Linked DNA regions of Solanum lycopersicum. The protein of the gene in region 2 binds, or shares a complex with, the protein of the main gene of each other region. Links are inferred from orthologs where the notes say so. Each region holds a gene or a part of one and is shown on either strand. Other genes may lie near its edges. The genes, in order: eukaryotic translation initiation factor 3 subunit K and eukaryotic translation initiation factor 3 subunit E.

Region 1 (4,279 bases), on a different chromosome or scaffold from region 2:
AATAAAGGACTCGGTTCGAAACTTAAAATCCCTACATGAAACTCCTCTTGTTGCACAAAGCCAAGCAAGTCCAGAAAAATGTAATTCTTTTTAAAAGAAATAGGTTCTCTCATTGTATCAAAACTGCTATTGCACATTGTGGGCAAGGGGAGGATTAACACTATATGGAGATAATATCCAGATCATGTGGTTAATATGAGGGGTTATAAATATTATACGCTGTACTTCATTCATTTTGGGCAAGGAGAGGATCAAGTATATGGAGATAATACCTAGATTATGTGGTTAATATGAGGGGTTTAGAATGTTATATTCTGTGCTTCATTCATTTTGTTGTAAATAGGTGGGGCCAAGTGTAATTGTCAACAAGAAACACTCTAGGAATTTTTTTTGGGTAGTCAAAAACTCAAGAATATTGATGGGTTATATCTGAAACAAAATTTTTACTACTAATAGTTGGAATAAATAGGGTCAAGGAAATGATTTGAAACTCAATCACTTCATAAAATGTCTCTCTCTCCACAGTTTTAAGCATGTTGCCGCAAAATCTGACACTTATTACGTATAACAAATAGGTTTCTTATTGCATCCGTATTGCTACTATTGAACACTGTGGATGAGGGGTGGATTAAAGCATTCAGTAATACCAGAAACAGCTTCCACAATGTGGCGGCTCTTTGCAGCTTCATCCCAAAATTGGCGGAACCTTGCAGTCTGCAAAAAGATGTGTGTACTTGTTGGGTTAACTACAGAGTTGGAAGAAACTTTCAGCAAACACAACATGGCATACCTCTAAGAAGTGTGACAGAACATTTAGTGTCTTGAATTGCTCTTCAATTTGCTGAGGAATGAAATGAGAAAATCATTATGAAGAAAAAAGGATAGGGCAATGCATCTAACACAGTTGAAGATTCATATGTAGATGTCAAAGCATGCATTCTGCCTTGCTCCCAAAAAAATCACCACAATGACCACAACCCCAGTGAAACAGTAAAGAAAATTAAGGCGAAAAGTGTTTGCAAAGTTGAGCAACAATAAATAGATGTCTATGGGGGTTGCAGCAAAAAGAGTGTACATGAAAGTGCCCCTCAAAAGGAAATGAAGAACTTCTAGGAAACAACCTTAACTGTTCCTCAATCCCAATCTTGTTTGGGCCAGCTATGTATATCCTCACCCTCCTCAATATCCCTTTGGATGAATTTAATTAACAAATAGGAAACTATACTAGCTAAGAAATTTAAGAACACCAATACAAGAAAATGGAGAACTTACGGGGAAACAACCTCTCTACCCCACAAAAGTGGGGGGTAAGGTTGTGTACATCATAGGATGCATTTCATTAACAAATATGAAACTATACTAGCTAAGAAATTAAAGAATACCAACATAAGGAAATGAAGAACTTCTGGGAAACAACCTCTCTACCCCACAAAGGTAGGGGTAAGGGTTTGTGTACATCCTACCCTCCCCAGACCCCACTTGTGGAACTACACTGGGGTATGTTGTTGTTGCTCAGTTTTACAACCTTTATGTTGCAGATATCGGTTTATATATAGAGCAACACCAAATATCGTACATCACTATGTATCTATTTATTTGTTTCAGACTTTCCTGTTTATCTAATTTCCTCAAAACTTAGCACGAGGACATTTCTGAACCAACAAAGCAACCTTCCCAAACTGCCAGCTATAAAATAAAATGATGTACCTCCAATCTAGTTGGATACACAGCAGGAGATGACAAATGAGTATTCAAAAATTTAGAAATATAGGAAGATCTTTTGGGGTATTTTTATAGTAGAATTATGTCATCTGATCAACTGCCTTCCTTTTTCATTTTACACAAGCCATGAAACAACTGTCAAGCTGTGTTAGGCATGACTGAGAATAGCTAATATTCCTGGTCACAAATAGGGGTAGTAACAAATCTACCTACATCTTTGGCTGTGACAGTTTTTATGTTTTCCAGCAGAGTACACAAGACTAGCAAAATTTACAATTCATATTCATCAAAGGTAAAGTCATAATCAAGGCAGCTTCAGAGATATATACCACTCGTTCGGGGATTAGGAAGAGACACAGGCTGTAATCTGGAGCTGGCATTGCCATTAAGGCCTATCAATACAACCAAGCAAATAATAAGTTAGATAATAACAGAGGCAACAAGTAATATCACAGTATGCAAAACAAGAACTTGATTGCACCTTAACCAAAATACGAGCAACAATTGGTGTACTCATTCTGTCCGGCTCAAACTGCACACATCCAAACAAATAAAAAAAAAACAAAATCAAACAACAAACAAACCTCCATGATTAATTCTCAAAATAACGATATAAACCTGATAAAGACGGAGCAGGCAAAGGTTTGCATCCAGATTGTATGTTTGAGACAAAACCTAAATTAACATTGGGATTACTCAATCAATAACAACGGAAAATTCAGCAGAAACAAAAATCTGAAAAGGGGTTGGCAACCCATTACAAAAAGATTAATTTTTGGAGTGATGAACGATGGTGAATTGGTGTACCTGTTCGTTGACATAGTTTTCAAGATCAGGGAGGATATCTGGATTGTAAGGGTTAACGGCAATGAGCTGTTCTACAGTGATAGCCAACTGTGACTTCTCGGAACCACCATTAGTCGCCTCTTGAACCATTTTGTAAACTGTATCTGACTGCTTTCGAACAAATTGGAAGGTGAAGAGAGGAGCCAAAAGGGGTTGCACTTGCAGTACAGCTGAACGGAGGTTTTAGGGTTAAGAGGGCGAGAGTAAGAGATACGGGAGGGATTATTTGTTTGTGACGGATATACCCTTCAAATTTCTCTCAATCCTTGAATATGATTTGAAATTAGATTGATTTAAATTGAAATTTTTTTCTGACATTATTATATTTCATAAGTGAAATTGTTCGCTCTTCGCATAATTATATGTTCATATAATAATTTAATGAACAATCTTGTTTTAATTGAGTATTAAAAATATTTATATTTTTATGTTAGTGCGGGATATATATAAAAGAATATTATTATTTTCATCTTTTTAAGTACAAATATTCATACATATATAGTAAGATAAAATGTTTATTGTGATAAAGCAAATGAATAAGAGGTCATATCTTAAAATAATAATATTTTATGCTACATCAAAATATTTTTTATATTTGAATATTATTTATATTTTTTATGGGATCACTTGATTTTTTTATCGGATGTCCTCGTAGGGACGAGATTACCTGATTCTATATACAAATTCTAACTTCGTAAAAAAATAAATGAATTTCTTCATTGTATCTTTATTATTAAAATTATTTATAATAATTTTTAAAACATTAATTAAATATTGTGAAATAAAACATAAGAAGTTATGAAAAATATTGAAGAGTGGAAATTAGAAGCAAGATGAAAAAATATGAGTTATAAATAATATAAATAAGTAATATATTATTAATTATGCATTGATTTTATTTGTAAAAGTAAATTAATAAATATGAAAAATAGAGAAGATAAAAACGAACAAAAAAAAATGATTGGTGCCTATAAGAGATAAATATAATAAATATCTAGTATTGTACCACGTTAACATTGCTTGGTGACAAACAATATAACTTAAGGAAATTGATAATCTAATTCCTTTAGAAAAAGGCCAGAGGAAAGAAATGACGAAAGCCACTGAAATTGGAGTTTACCAAGAATCTTGAACAAATTATTGAGCACAAGACTACTTAAATACAAGCTTGATGTCACACTACTATATATAAGGTTCACAATATTTACAATAGACACAAACATGTCGTGCAGATGCACTGATTCAAAAGTTGTTGCAGTAGTAGTGATAATAAAACCCAAAAAGTCAAAGAGTGTTAGGAGTTTTTAGTTACAAGATGATGGTATCTTAGTCTAGAACAACATGGTACAATTGGAATCCACGCAAGCTTATCCAGTCACAACATTTATGAAATTGCAAGATGTCAAAGTACCTAAAAATAAATGATAGAGATATTGGCAAGAAAGTAAGAGAGATACTACAACAAACAACTGAGACATAATATACTACATTAATTTCACAAATTTACAGCCAAAGGCGATAGTTTTATGGTGAAGTTATGTTAATAATAAATATTTACTTAGACAAAGTGTAACACAACATATCTAATTAAATGTGCCATATCAACTTAACGTAAAATCTAAATCCCTGAGGCATCCAAAAAAGTTAAAAGATTGAGTACCATCTCCGTTACTTTTGTATCCCCAACTTCTTATAACAAGATCTTCATACT
Region 2 (4,250 bases):
ACTAGCATGTCCAAAGTCTACAAAACTTGCATATATTTGCAAAGAGTCCTGCGCTTATACTTCCAAAATACAATCTTCACTTCATATATCATATCATCTTAAAGTCAATTACAACTTATTTAAAGAAAAGTTCAGTTTCTACTTCTGATATGCAAGAAATGAATCATACAACTATGATGTGACCATGCATCAAAGCGGATAAGCTACGCACAAAAGCTTACCTCTTCGCACTCCTTCATCTTCTCCTGTGCCCCATCAAAATCATAGTCGACGTAAATACATGCCAAAAACTCTGTGATGGGATCTTTACAAGAGTGTTGCTCCTGCTGAATAACCTTTATAAAGTCCTTAAATTGAGGTCTTCTTCTTTTGTTGACAATAAATGCAATAGCCAAGTACCGCAGCAAGTGGGGAGCACTTGTTTGAATGGCATTCAAGTATCTGCAAGACTTCAATGATTTAGAAAAGCTCAAAGGGAAGATGTAAATCCATAGAATACCAACAAAAGGAAAAATAACAGCTACTTTAATCGAGACATATCAAGAAGAATACTGTCTTAATGTATGTTACCACAAAAGAAGAGCAATATTTATTTCAAACATTTTGGAATAAGAAAACTATATTTCAAACATAATTCTGCTGTATGCAAATAAGAAATACAGTGTGTTCCTGACCCTCCAGATCATGTTTCATTCTAATTCATCTAGTTTTCTCCATTTTCCCACTAAGGGAAAGAACTAGGTAATCGGAGCTTCCTAAAATATTTCTCTACATCATACTCGGTAGGTGATAGTATCAGAAAAAATGCCTAGCTCAAACAGGATGGGGAAATCTAAAATGAAGCAGCAAATGAAAACAATCATCTATAAGCAATAGCAACTAAAGTACAGTTGGCATACTTGTCCTGGTTAAACAGGTCAATGATCAGTGTCCTGCCATTGTCATGGTTGAAGAAGATGAATAGACTCCAATGCATTAGCCATATTCTATTCTGAACTTGATTCAACGGAGTAGAGAAACTCTGCAAGACAAGCGACACTTTTAGTACACTTGGTAAACTGAGGATCATTCAGTTTTTTCCTACAGGATACTCAACTTGGTAAGACTAACTCAAACAGACAGATTGTTGACTCAATATATGCAAAATATTACCTTTGAGTCGATAATTTCTTTCAAGCGGTTGAGTTCCTCGAGTGCAATATCCCAATTCTGCATTAGTATCTCCGCTGCAAGCTTTCCCCACAATGCACTGACGCTCCTGTCACTGTTTGTGCACAATGCTCGGTACTGGTAAAGATAATCAGCAGCACCAGAATAGTTTCCACATTCAAACTGAAATTTGGCATATTGATACAATGCCTCTATCTGGTCCGGACCAATCTGGACAGGTTTGTAAGAGCATTACTAAAATAAAAAATGTATATTCACAAAATTAGCTAGAGACCAACTTCTGTTTGTGATCCCTTTAACAAGTATATTATTAATTATACAACATTAAGTACTAAAGAAGAAGGAACTCTATATCATGTAAATCAAACTAGATCTATGCACCTGGTACCGCTCCTGGAGCAACTGAAGATTGTGCTGTTTGTCAGCTCTCAACTCCTGCACAGCACTGGAATTCTGCAAAAAAGTGATCAATGGGGCTGCAGCTTCCTCAAGTGCTTTCAACCTTGCCACAACCTCGGCTCTCCTCTCCATCATTTCTGAACAATCAAACGGCAATTATAAAGACAGTGCAGAATTTAAACATGTAAAGGAACTCCCAAAATCACTTCTGCTCAAACTAAACTTTTTTAATAACAGAGGAATCCCTGAGGGCAAGTCGCAAATGGTTAGACTCTGTACCGACACGTATGTGTACCAACAGTTTATCTTATCTAAGTACACCAAGAAGGTTTTAATCTACATACATTGCATGCATTTACTGTAAAGCTCAAACAGAAAATCCAGACAACAACGTCAAAATTGCCTCCCATATCAAATCTCTATCTGATCACAACTATACAGATTCCTCAAGGGACAACTCCAAAGAAAACCTACGGAGACTGCCCCAACAGAATTACAATACCCCCACAAGAAAACAACTTCTATGCTAAAAAGGGCACTGCTAAGTCACCAGATTTTTTTACTCTTATACATCAACTATACAGATTATCCCCTTCGAATAAATTTTAAACAACTTCTACAGACCAGAACCATCAAAATTACAACTACCACCATATCACCACCCCAAAAAAGAACACCTTTTGTTAAAAGTGCAAAAGCATTAAGTGAAGCAACAAATAAATAAGCATTCACCAATACGTGGACCAATATGTAAACATACACCAATATGAAGGGAAACAGGAGACACCTGAAGGACAACTTCTACAACTTCTATAGAGACCATATCCATTAAAACTAACAACCCCACACCACACACGAAAACCTTCATGCTGAAAAGGGCACAAGGTATTTCGATCAGTAAGGGCACAAATCAACGGGCATTCATACCAAAGGGAAAGAAAGAGAAACCTTGACGTACAACCCCACCCCACACAACACACAAATCAATGCGTATTCACTACTACAAAGGGGGGAAAGAGATAACCTTGAGGAACAGCACATAGACAACTTGTATAAACAATATCCATAAAATTCACAACCCCACCCCCCCAAAAAAAAACCCCTTTTGCTAAAAAAAAAAAGCACAAGTATTAAGATTAATAAACAAAAAAATCAATTGGAAACACGAAGCGAAAAAATTAAATGATACCTTGAGGCACATCGTCAGTATGATAGAGAGACTTATGAATATCCATAGCATAATCAACCATGTTAGTGTGATTAAGCAGCTCAATCTTCGCCTTGAGTATATATTCATCTGGGTATAATCCCTGCTCTTGCAAAAACTCCAGTAACGGGAAAATCAAGTGAATGTCCAATTGCTGCGCTACACGTGGCGTCAAATCGTACTTCGACGCCATGATTGCTACTGTCGGTAAGAGATAGCAACCACAAAACTCGCCGCCGTGCAGAACCAGAGAAACTGAAAAGATGAGAAGTGGATCGGTAGAAGAAAGATTTCTAGGGTTTCGTCTTTTTTGCTGTAAGGAATAAATAATGTTGAAACTCCCCCTTGGGTTTTAAATATTGTTACCTTTAACCCCATCTTCAATACAACTACTTTTTCTTTTTCTTTTTTTTTTGTTTTGGTTTTGATTTTTACGATAGAAAATAATTTGTTTGATTGAATTTTTAAAAAAATCCAAAAGTGTTGATTTCTAAAAACAATAAGGTAAAAGTATTATCATAATAATATTGTTAAATATTACGCTAACTATTATCAATAATTATTAATTTTTATAATCGATCCACTATCGAACGATGACCATCAAATTATTTCTACTATCGAATAATCTTAGTATCTCTAATTGCAACCTCCTTCAACCATTATTTATTATACTATGTCACTAACCATCTTCAATAACAATATACGTCATTTTTTTACTAATATCGTCAATTATTACCTTCATTTTTAACAATTATAATCAATCACTTATAGTCATCACTTCACGATTATCATTACTAACTATCACCATCTTTGTTTGACCCTGTGAACGTGCTTCATCAAAACAATTTCACTCGAATATGTTAATTTTATAATATTCGATTATCATTTTTTGAACTCTATATACTACTCCTAGGAGTAGTTTTAAAATAAAGATGAGTTCCATATATTCACATGCTATAGTAAAAAGAATAAACAACTTATCTTAAATTATTTTTTTGGGCAACTGAATGCATTTTATTACCAAAGTGGCAAAATATGGCTAAAAAAAACACCAGAGCATATTCCAACTAATGATCGTTATATGTTCCTAAAGTCTTTAACGATATTAATTTTAATGACACTTATCTAATGCCCATGTGACTTTAACACTCTTTATTAATGTCAATATTTTATCCCGCTAAAAATTATTTTCATTAAAGATCACTATGCATAAATTTGATAAGAGGTCTAATAGTATTATCATTCTTGTCGTTCTTGTTTTTAATTCATAGGGCTACATTATTCTGAAAAGTCTTGTAATTCAATACCAAATAAACTCCATATGAATAAAGCACAACCCTTTATTAACCTTAAAATAAAGATAAAAGTAGACTTTTGGGCTCCTTGAAATAGATTTGTTTATATTTTATTTTCTAAAATAAGCCGAACCAAATACTCTTTAAAGTAGTCATGATCGAATAGTAAACACATCAAA

Evidence for each region.
Region 1: eukaryotic translation initiation factor 3 subunit E (region 2) and eukaryotic translation initiation factor 3 subunit K share a complex: the UniProt entries of both Arabidopsis thaliana proteins name them as parts of the eukaryotic translation initiation factor 3 (eIF-3) complex. The link is inferred for Solanum lycopersicum from reciprocal best matches to the Arabidopsis thaliana genes EIF3E and EIF3K.

What each region holds. Positions count from the first base shown.
Region 1 is NC_090806.1:58,133,239-58,137,517, reverse strand, and holds the start of eukaryotic translation initiation factor 3 subunit K, read right to left. Parts: upstream 2,960-4,279; 5' UTR 2,659-2,959; coding exon 2,530-2,658; intron 2,398-2,529; coding exon 2,341-2,397; intron 2,255-2,340; coding exon 2,204-2,254; intron 2,115-2,203; coding exon 2,052-2,114; intron 842-2,051; coding exon 791-841; intron 715-790; coding exon 648-714; intron 1-647. UniProt on the Arabidopsis thaliana protein: Component of the eukaryotic translation initiation factor 3 (eIF-3) complex, which is involved in protein synthesis of a specialized repertoire of mRNAs and, together with other initiation factors, stimulates binding of mRNA and methionyl-tRNAi to the 40S ribosome.
Region 2 is NC_090809.1:60,505,505-60,509,754, forward strand, and holds the start of eukaryotic translation initiation factor 3 subunit E, read right to left. Parts: upstream 3,120-4,250; 5' UTR 2,970-3,119; coding exon 2,759-2,969; intron 1,707-2,758; coding exon 1,552-1,706; intron 1,381-1,551; coding exon 1,153-1,380; intron 1,022-1,152; coding exon 900-1,021; intron 442-899; coding exon 222-441; intron 1-221. UniProt on the Arabidopsis thaliana protein: Component of the eukaryotic translation initiation factor 3 (eIF-3) complex, which is involved in protein synthesis of a specialized repertoire of mRNAs and, together with other initiation factors, stimulates binding of mRNA and methionyl-tRNAi to the 40S ribosome.